2 linked regions of the Tribolium castaneum genome follow. The main gene of each other region encodes a partner of the protein of the gene in region 2 in a complex. Links are inferred from orthologs where the notes say so. Each region holds a gene or a part of one and is shown on either strand. Other genes may lie near its edges. The genes, in order: Snr1 and polybromo.

Region 1 (4,614 bases), on a different chromosome or scaffold from region 2:
AATTGTTCGGGGGTGATGAGACTCTCTAAATTGTGATATGATTTTTGTTAATGCTAATAATTTGCATAAACTGAATCGAGTTGCGAGATATACGTTGTCAATAACTATATAAGTGACTAAAGTTACGTTTGCTGATTTTTTTGATATTGAAAAAAAAACCAAAAACTAGTCGCTCAAAAGCACCAAACATTATTTTTTATACAATTTTTTTTTATTTTTTTTATTTTAAAAAATCGTCTCTCAAAAATACCCAACGGTTGTTTTGTATTTTCGTCTTGTTAAATTTTTTTTATAAAAGTTTAACAGTTGGTAATTGAAACCCTAAATATAATTTCTAATATCCCGATTTCAACAAATATAAAAATAATAAAAATAAAAAAACTACGAAACTAACAACAATGCACAAAATATTGTGTAATTAAAAAAAATACTCTGTTGATGATGAAGGATGACAGTCAAATACATGTTCGAACTAAAAAACAAAAAGACAGAAGAAAAAACGAAACTTCTGAAAAAAAAAAAAAGTTTTTTTTTTCTTGAGTTGGTATTTACTTGGTCTAAACTTTAAATTAGGTCGGCTATAGATAAAAACAAAGGTTTGGGACTTGGGCCCACTCTACAATTATCAAATAACAAAAATGGGAGAATAAAACACTTTTATTATTATTAAATTTCTCAAAAATAAGCCGAAAAGTCACTAACCTGCGTCAAAAATGGTGATAATTTTGCATTTTTTGGGAGTTTTATCACCATTTTAAACTTAAAACTCAATTATTTTACATTTTTGAGCGTGTTTAGTACATTTTTCAACAGAAATACAGTTGGTTAGAATAATTAATAAATAATAATATATTAAATAGACTGAAAAAGCACCTCAATTTTTATTTAAATTGGCTTTTTGACAAAATTCTTCAAAACAATGGAGATTTTCGCTCAAAAACTTACTTACTTACTTAATGAAAAAGGCAAGAAAAATATGAAAGTAAATTTTTCGGCGCATTTTAATGCAATTTCGTATAAAAACAAAGCTAGATTATTTTAAGAAATTAAGCTGTTAAAAAAAACATTACATTTGATTAATTCTGTCACGAAACTTTGCAGTTCCTGGCTCCAAAACAAATAAACCTACCAGAAATTCTTAAAACTAGGACGTCAATTTTATCTCAATTTGCTTATTTTTGACAAAATTTTACAAAAAAGTCAGTTTCTCGCTAAAAAAAATAAATCTAACGACAAAAACTAAAATAATGTCGAACCAACCGTAACTTTCGATATATTTAGATATTTTTCGGGGTATTTAATAAAAAAAAAGTTTTCAAAAAAGAGAAAACATTGTCAAAATGACATAAGTTTTGACATATTTAGATGATTTTTCGGTGCATTTTCACGAAATGTGTCCAAATCACTACTGAAGAAAACGTCAATTTCGACCTAATTTAGTCATTTTTTGACAAAACTTTCAAGAACAAGTAAGTCTCATACTCAAAAACAAGATAAGTTTAATAAAAAAAAGGCAAAATAATCTGGAAATAACGCTATTACTCAACATATTTAGATGATTTTTTAGCGTTTTTATGAAGTTTTGCTTCAACAAAAAAGCAAAGTCACTTTAAAGAAAACATACACTTTAATCTAATTGGAACTGTTTTTAAAGAGTGTCAAATTCAGGTCATTTTCGACATATTTAGATGATCTTTTGACGTGTTTTAATTAAATTAAACTCAAAAAAAGTTATAAATCATATTAAAAGTGTTTAAAAATGCGTTTTATCAAAAAATTTATCATTTACTACAAGTTTGTAGTTAATAATCAGGACCCAGTATCAACAATATGGTGTCAATTTAGATAACAGATGTAACCTTAGTTACTAGACTACAGTCATTGCCAACATATTTTTCTCGTATCACGCAATCTTGATTAGTTTAAATGACTGGTGGCAGGTTTAAAAATTATTCAAGAATTAAATTTCAGATCAAAATGCGCTAATAAGTATTCGAAAATAAGTTGATAAGAATAAATAATGTAAAAGTTACAACTTTATTTCAAATGCAGAGCGTACTGTGATTAGAAAAACCCAAAAAATTACCGTTTTTATTCCACGTGAAAGTGTCTCTCAGCTTCTGCCCCTCAATTTCCATATCCAGCCTTATCGGGACCAACAACTCCCCTTGTGCCGCATTTTGCATATTCAGCTCTGGATCAGTATCATCAAAACATAACGGAAACGTCCGAACTTTCTTCGCCGCCACTCTGTTCCGATTAATCGGGGTGGCTTGGGGCACAGCGTCCAAATGACTGGAGTTTGGGAGTGAGGGCACCCATTGCATCGACTTCTTCGATTTACTCTCCCTCGGCATCGGCGGGTCCGAAGTGTGCACCGAAACAGCCTTATACCTAAATAATCAACAAATAACAACAAAACCCCCAAAAAACAAACCAACTTTTCGTCATTTCCCTCAATGATATCCTCGACTTCCGAGGCCCGAAGCAGTGAGACACTGCTGGCCAGAACGTGCTGGCTCAAGCCCAGCTCGATGAGGCGTTTGCGTTCCTCGTTTGTGATTGACCTGCGGTACATTCCGGGGTATTTCTTGTAGAGGGAACCCCGGAACAGGCGCAGGTAGTTCCCCACCTCGGAGCCCACACAGTAATACTCCCCATTTTCCTCCAATTGGAAAGTTATCGGTTTTTCACCGAATGTTCGGAGGGCCATTTTGCCGCGTCCTTTAACACTGTGAGGTTAGGTGACACCAACAAATGTCAACAGGGCACTCAAATGGAAAATACGGGCATAAATTACACAAAGCAAGGACACGATTCACATTATTTCGTTTGGTTTTGCACGAGATGGTACTTGGGGTTAATTAATTCAAACAATTCGTAAAAAAACACTTTTGGTGGCTAGTCTAATTGACAAAACTGAAATCACCAGAAATGCATTAACTAGGCGTCCTCTGGTGACGACATGTCGTACTTGCCGAAAACAGTAACAAGTTTTGGTAATTGCTCATTTAATGGATTATTTAGCAATTCTGCGTGTGTACTGTTAATTTTTTACATTAGAGAGAGTCAATTTAAAATTATATGCCGGTAAATACTAGTGTTGCCTTTGGTTTTGCGTTTTTTCGTGATTATAAAGTGTTTTATGTTGGACTTTGATAAAAAAGTGAAAAAGATTTTTGATTACAAAGAGTTATTTAATCTATTGCGTAATCAAAAACTGTTAAGTATTGGGTCATTTACGGCGATTTACACACTACTGTTCCTTTCGGCATTGTATTGAGATCTCCGGATAATTTTATTGACTTAAAAGATATAAATATTGAAAGAAAGTGTTATTTGTGATAATTGAAGTAATTTGTTTAAGGAGATACTGTAATGAATCACTAATAACCAATAATAATCCATTTAAATAATCACACAAAAATCAGCGTTTGTGATTTTTTTTGCTTTATTTCTTTCTGTAAGCCTTCGAATTTTATCAGATTTTTTCTACAATTTCTTATAAATAATAAATATTAATTAATGAGAAATATTTATATTAATAAAATATTATTTTATTTAAAAAAAACTAAAAACATTAACTAATGGAAATTTTTATGATTTATAGAACAAGCGATGCTTGCAGAATGTTTTGTACAAAAAAAAATATGTAAAAAAATAAGTGTTCTACAAACGACTTGTTATTTACAGAAATACAATTTCTTTATTTGTTAATGCTTTTGAAGATACGTTCGATGAATAAGTAGATGTGGTTTATAATTATAAACCTAGTGTTTTCAAAGATATGAAATTACGATTCTCTTGTTTTTCTAAAGATGTCTTGTTCTCATTTTTTGATATCCAACGGTTTTATAACGTGAGATTTCTGAATTTTATTTATTTTATTTAGTTATAGTTCATTAAACATTCATAAAAGATATAGGACTGCAATAGCTAAATGGAAAAAATTGAGGAACAGCGAAATAATTTTGGAAACATGTTAATTTTAACCAGCTGAGTCAATTGTGCCGCCCGACGTCACACCTAGAGAGACTTTGAGGTCTCATAACTTTTTTATTTTTACGAACATAAAAAAATGAAAAGTACCATTAGTTTTACAATTATGAAGACTATTAGTGGTATTAATTTAAAAATGTAAAATTCTAGAAACGTGAATGTTTCTAGAAATGTCTTTTCTGTCGTTGATTTTCTGTTGGTGACCAGAATTCCCGCTTGGGAATGCTAGTGACAGATAAAAATCCCTAGAAATGGGGACGTCAACCTAACCTCAAAATTATGCCCTGTGCCAATTTCTCCGCCAGAAAATCTAAAAATACCGCAAATGCTCGGTAAATCTATTTCGAGCGTGACTTCATGACTGAGATGAGCCAAGCAGCGCCTTGGCATGAGTCTAGGTTTCGAATCGTTGGTGTCCCTCGTCTCAGCCTCTTGGAAGAATCTAACCGTTCGAGTCCAGGAATACACGAAAGAAACCGTGGAGCATTTAATCGTAGCCGTGTCCGTGTACATCATAGTATGCGTGTTTTTGTACCTTTCCATCTCTCGCTGGAAGATAATCCACTTCAAAAAAGACGTAAAAAACCCCCATCGTGTTTTACTAGTAATCGCACA
Region 2 (4,594 bases):
CTACGGTTTTTTCCTTCTTTTCCGGAGTGACACTATGCCCAACTTTATCCAACAGATGTTTTTCCAAAACGAGGGAATCCTCGTAAATTGGCGAATTTTCCTCGTTAAACTGTCGGCAGTTCGAAAACATGAGCTTAAAATCTTTGACTAAGTCACTCTCGGAGCTGTACTGATCGGCGCGAATTTTTTGCTCAATTTCGAGGAAATCGATCGGTTCCGAAATGACTTCGTAATATTCCGAATACAATTTTTTCGAGGGTTTTTCCATAAAGCCGAGCATGGGCTTTCGGCCATCCTCACACTGAAAAATGGCTAATAGAAAAAAAATTGCAAAACGTGTAACTGACAGTATAGTCGAGCATATATTTCGCTAAAGCGTGCAAACGTTTTTTTAGCGGGATTGGGTCTCGCGGTGGACGCCCTCTTTGTGGCGTGCTGCCACTCGATTGCGTATTTTTTGGCTTAGGTCCTGGCTTTTTGCGCACAACGACTTCGGAATCTGCCTCACTGTCTGTATCCTGAAGATTGAAAAAGACAAAAATTTAAACAATTACCATCAACTCAAACGCCTGATTAGGAAAATAGTGAAACAAGCCGACTGATGTTAGCAACGTAAGCGCCCACAAAATGAATAACTCCCGACAGTTAATAAATGCAATGAAGACATAAGCAGTGCAGTAGCATACCTTCCGGTTTTTGTTAGTGACTCTGTATGTTACCTGATCAATGTCAAGTAGTTCTTGCACTTTCATTTGCATGACCTTTTGCAACTTGACAGCGTCCTGGAACAAACTCGCTCAAATTTCACGTTGAAAACGTTACCAAACTCACTTTATACAACCTTGACGACGGCAGGTTATACTTTTTCGCATTCTCAAACATTATGGTCATGTCACCGGCCACTTCGCTTATGGTGCCATAAGCGTGCTTGGTCAGTTTTCGTTTGATTTGAGTCAAAGAGACTGGGTTTTTGATCTCGCGGTAATAGTCTGGATAGAAACGTTTCGAGGGCAATTTCCAGAAGGGTTCGCTCAAGGAAACTCCGCTATTACTCGTCACTGAACGCACAGCCTCGAACAATTGCCACTGGGGATCTTCGACATCAAGAGGATCAGCAATTGACTGAAACAATTCATTGAAAAAACGACTTTGCACTTTGATTTGCTACTTCATCGTCCATCTGTTCCTCTGGTTCCACCTCAGCGTCCGACTCGTCGTCCCTTAGGGCTGCAGTGACCGCAGATAGCGATGTACTGCCCCTTAACCGTTTATTCCTAATGCGTTCGCTGCTTTTACCCAAACTTAATTTAATGTGATCCAGCTCGGCTTTTTTACTTTGAATTATCTACAAAATACTGAAGGGTCAATGGTACAAACAACCCGGCTCTCACCTTTTTCAGCGCTTTCGCGTTTTTGTAAATCTGCGAACCGGGTTCGTTAAACAAACAGGCGTTTTTGCACATTAACATCAAGTCTTTCTCGAGCTCGGCCAAGCTGCAATAGTCGTTAGTTTGGATTTTGGTGGCAATCATTTTTAGATCGATGGGTTGTTCGATCACTTCGTAATACTCGGGATATTTTTTCTTCGAGGGAATTAGCTGGAAAGAAGTGTGAAGTGGCCGATTTTCATTATCGGTCGCTGTCATGACTGAAGTGAACAGCTCCTCGTATAAATTGACATCGTCGTCGAAATTCGAACTCTCTGAAGTGTCCTCAGAGTGCTCAGGTTCTTTGGTTTCGACCGGAGTGCCGGCTTTTTTGCTCGGTCTTCCGACTTTTAACACGATTTTTCCCTTAGGTTCGGGTTCATCGTCTTTGGTATTAAGTAGTCTGAATTGAGACATGGCTAAGTGTTAATTAATTTAAAAACGGGACTCACTTGTGTTTGTTAGAGAGAAACAAGGCCCACAAATCTATGGCGTCGCGATACTCCTGCGAATTCTTTTTATAGAAAGCTTTCGTGTTATTGACAATTAACTCGATATCGTTCTGCAAATCCTCGATATCCTCATATTCCTCAGTTTTCAGTTTTTGTTGCACTTTCAACAAATCGATCGGGTTTGAAACAACCTCATAATAGCCGGGCTCTTGTCTACGTTTCGGTACTCGAATAAACGAATCGCAGAGAAGAGTCCCGTCGTCTTTTTTGTGATTGCGGATTGAATCGTACAATTGTTGACAAAGTTCCATCTAAAAACAAGGCGTCACAATGTGGAACAAACTCGCAATTTCCTGTTACAGGATCTAGTTTTTTGCTGCGCTTTCGCATCGTAGGTCCTGTACTAGTCGAAGCCTCCAGACTATCCAAAGAATCGTCTTCTTGCCCCCTACTGGCTATAGAACTCGTTCGACGCCTTTTACTCATTATGCTGAAAAGGTTTTCAACCAAGGCTACATTTAACTAAAGTAGTGAATCGTACAGAAATCAAATTACAGAAGTCTTAATTCAAATGAGCGCCAATTGTTGTGTCAAATGACGTCGTAAACAAACGCTAAACGGAATACCACGGACGTCGGTAACCATAAACACGCGCCAGAAATAGCTTATTGACAATGTACGATTGTCAAATCTCGTTAATTGATTTTTTATTATTGAAAAACACAATCAATGGCCGTAAAAATTAATACAGTCATGGCCTTACACTAATTGGGCAAATATCATGAAACAACTGCTAATTATGGTTGCAATTGGACAAACCTGGATTCAGTTGATCATCACACAAGGAAAAGTCCACAAAAACACACCGTTTTTGCAAATAAACCCTTGCACTTCACATTTGTGCACAAATCATAAATCGATAATAAAAACCGGCATCACTCGTCAACAAAATGGCTGATGGTTGACAATTCTGGGGGATTTTCGTGTTGTTGAATGTTTTGGGTTATGTGAGGTTATTGAGCTAAAATGAGTAGGTTTTTGTATATTTTGTCGTGTCTGTCCGTTATTTTCAATAGTTTTTGTAACTGTGGTGCAATAAAATCAATCCAGGATGATGATCTCATGAACTTAATCAGAAGTGAGACTTATGTGGTTGCGCTGTTTTGTAAGTCCCCACTTTGCGTTCCTATCAAGATTGAACGAAAATTCCAGCTGCGAAAAATTGCGAACTTTGTGATAACTTCGAAAACATTTTAACAAATTTGGAGGAAGAGTTCTCTAAATCATTTGAAGGAGAGACTGTTAAAGTCGTTAACAGCCAGTTAACAAGACTGTATAGCCCCACGAAGGAGCCGGTTTTGGTGTTTTTCAGACATGGAATTCCTCTACTTTATAATGGTATTGCTACATTTAACCGTAATCAATTTTATTCGCATTTATTTTGCTTTAGATATTCCTTCAGAAGAGCTAATTCTTCACACATTTGTTAACAATAAAGAACCGGTGGTGAAGGAATTAAACGATGAGACTTTTGAACACTTAACCCAGGCCGCCAGTGGGGCTACCACAGGCGACTGGTTTGTGATGTTGTAAGTCTTTTTAAATGGTTGTAGATTTTTGTTTAATTTTTTCAAAGTTATACCCCAGACTGTGTCGATTGCCACCGCCTTCAAGCCCGGTGGGAGACAGTCGGGGCACAATTAAAAACACGAATGAACGTCGCACGAGTCAATAAGGCGACAGATGGGGCCGCTACCGCCACACGATTTGGAGTCTCCCAAGCCCCAACTTTTATTCTGTAAATTGACTTCTCAATTTTGTTTCAATTCTCACACATTTTTTTAGCTTCAGACAAGGCAAAATGTATAAATATCAAATCCAAAAGTACGACGTTGCGTCTTTCACTTCTTTTGCCCAAGAATGGTACAAAAACGTGACTCCCATTAAAGTACCATCGCCTAAAACGCCATTGTAAGCAATTGCAATTTATCTTCTTGTGTTATAATGGAATTTTTCAGTGATAATATTGTCGAAAATATCGTACTTAATTTGAAGGAAAGCGCAATGGCGTGGAAAATTGGTTTAGCGGCGACTGTTGTTGGTTTCTTGTTGATAATTTTAATGAAATGTCGTAAGACTGAAAAGCCGCAAAAACCGACAAGCAAGAAAGACAAATAAATTTTTAACACTTTTTTATTAAAATAAATTGGTGGCTGACTTCATAACTCGTTATTTACACAATAGAAGGTTAATGAGGCGCTGGTGTGTGGCCATCAACGTAAAAGTTCCTCGTTGCTTGTGGCAATTCTAACTCAAGCCCTTCTAATTCTTTGGTTAAAATAATCTGACAACCTAACCTAGAGTTTTCTTTAAGAAACGGCGCCATGTCTAACAAATCCTCTTCTTTTTCCTCAGCTGGCGTAAGTTCGTGATCACTTTTCACATAAACGTGACAAGTGGTACATGCTAGGGAGGCCTCACAGGCCCCTTCCATGGGAATTTTGTATCTGTGAGCCAAGTATAGGACATTATCACCTACTTTGCCCTTTACAGGGACCTTTTCACCGTCTTTTGTAACAAAAGTTATGTTAACACTGAAAAAAATGTGTATTTTACGTAATATAACCGCGCGAACTGTTACACTTCATCGGGGGATTTGGGATCCTGCCATTCGTATTCACCGTGATTTAACTCTAATTAAAGACAATTGGTTAC

What was found.
Region 1: polybromo (region 2) and Snr1 share a complex: the UniProt entries of both Homo sapiens proteins name them as parts of the SWI/SNF-B (PBAF) chromatin remodeling complex. The link is inferred for Tribolium castaneum from reciprocal best matches to the Homo sapiens genes PBRM1 and SMARCB1.

The regions. Positions count from the first base shown.
Region 1 is NC_087401.1:13,705,402-13,710,015, forward strand, and holds the start of Snr1 (SWI/SNF-related matrix-associated actin-dependent regulator of chromatin subfamily B member 1), read right to left. Parts: upstream 2,940-4,614; 5' UTR 2,714-2,939; coding exon 2,442-2,713; intron 2,395-2,441; coding exon 2,087-2,394; intron 26-2,086; coding exon 1-25. Other genes in the region: PIG-L (N-acetylglucosaminyl-phosphatidylinositol de-N-acetylase), read left to right, coding at 4,388-4,614.
Region 2 is NC_087397.1:6,257,869-6,262,462, reverse strand, and holds the start of polybromo (protein polybromo-1), read right to left. Parts: upstream 2,841-4,594; 5' UTR 2,699-2,840; intron 2,392-2,698; exon of another isoform or gene 2,370-2,391; 5' UTR 2,366-2,369; coding exon 2,240-2,365; intron 2,191-2,239; coding exon 1,880-2,190; intron 1,831-1,879; coding exon 1,392-1,830; intron 1,346-1,391; coding exon 1,169-1,345; intron 1,123-1,168; coding exon 832-1,122; intron 783-831; coding exon 687-782; intron 519-686; coding exon 348-518; intron 302-347; coding exon 1-301. Other genes in the region: thioredoxin domain-containing protein, read left to right, coding at 2,906-3,044, 3,092-3,277, 3,330-3,468, 3,516-3,677, 3,725-3,850, 3,898-4,057; Fdx1 (adrenodoxin-like protein 1, mitochondrial), read right to left, coding at 4,128-4,473, 4,521-4,572. UniProt on the Homo sapiens protein: Involved in transcriptional activation and repression of select genes by chromatin remodeling (alteration of DNA-nucleosome topology). Required for the stability of the SWI/SNF chromatin remodeling complex SWI/SNF-B (PBAF).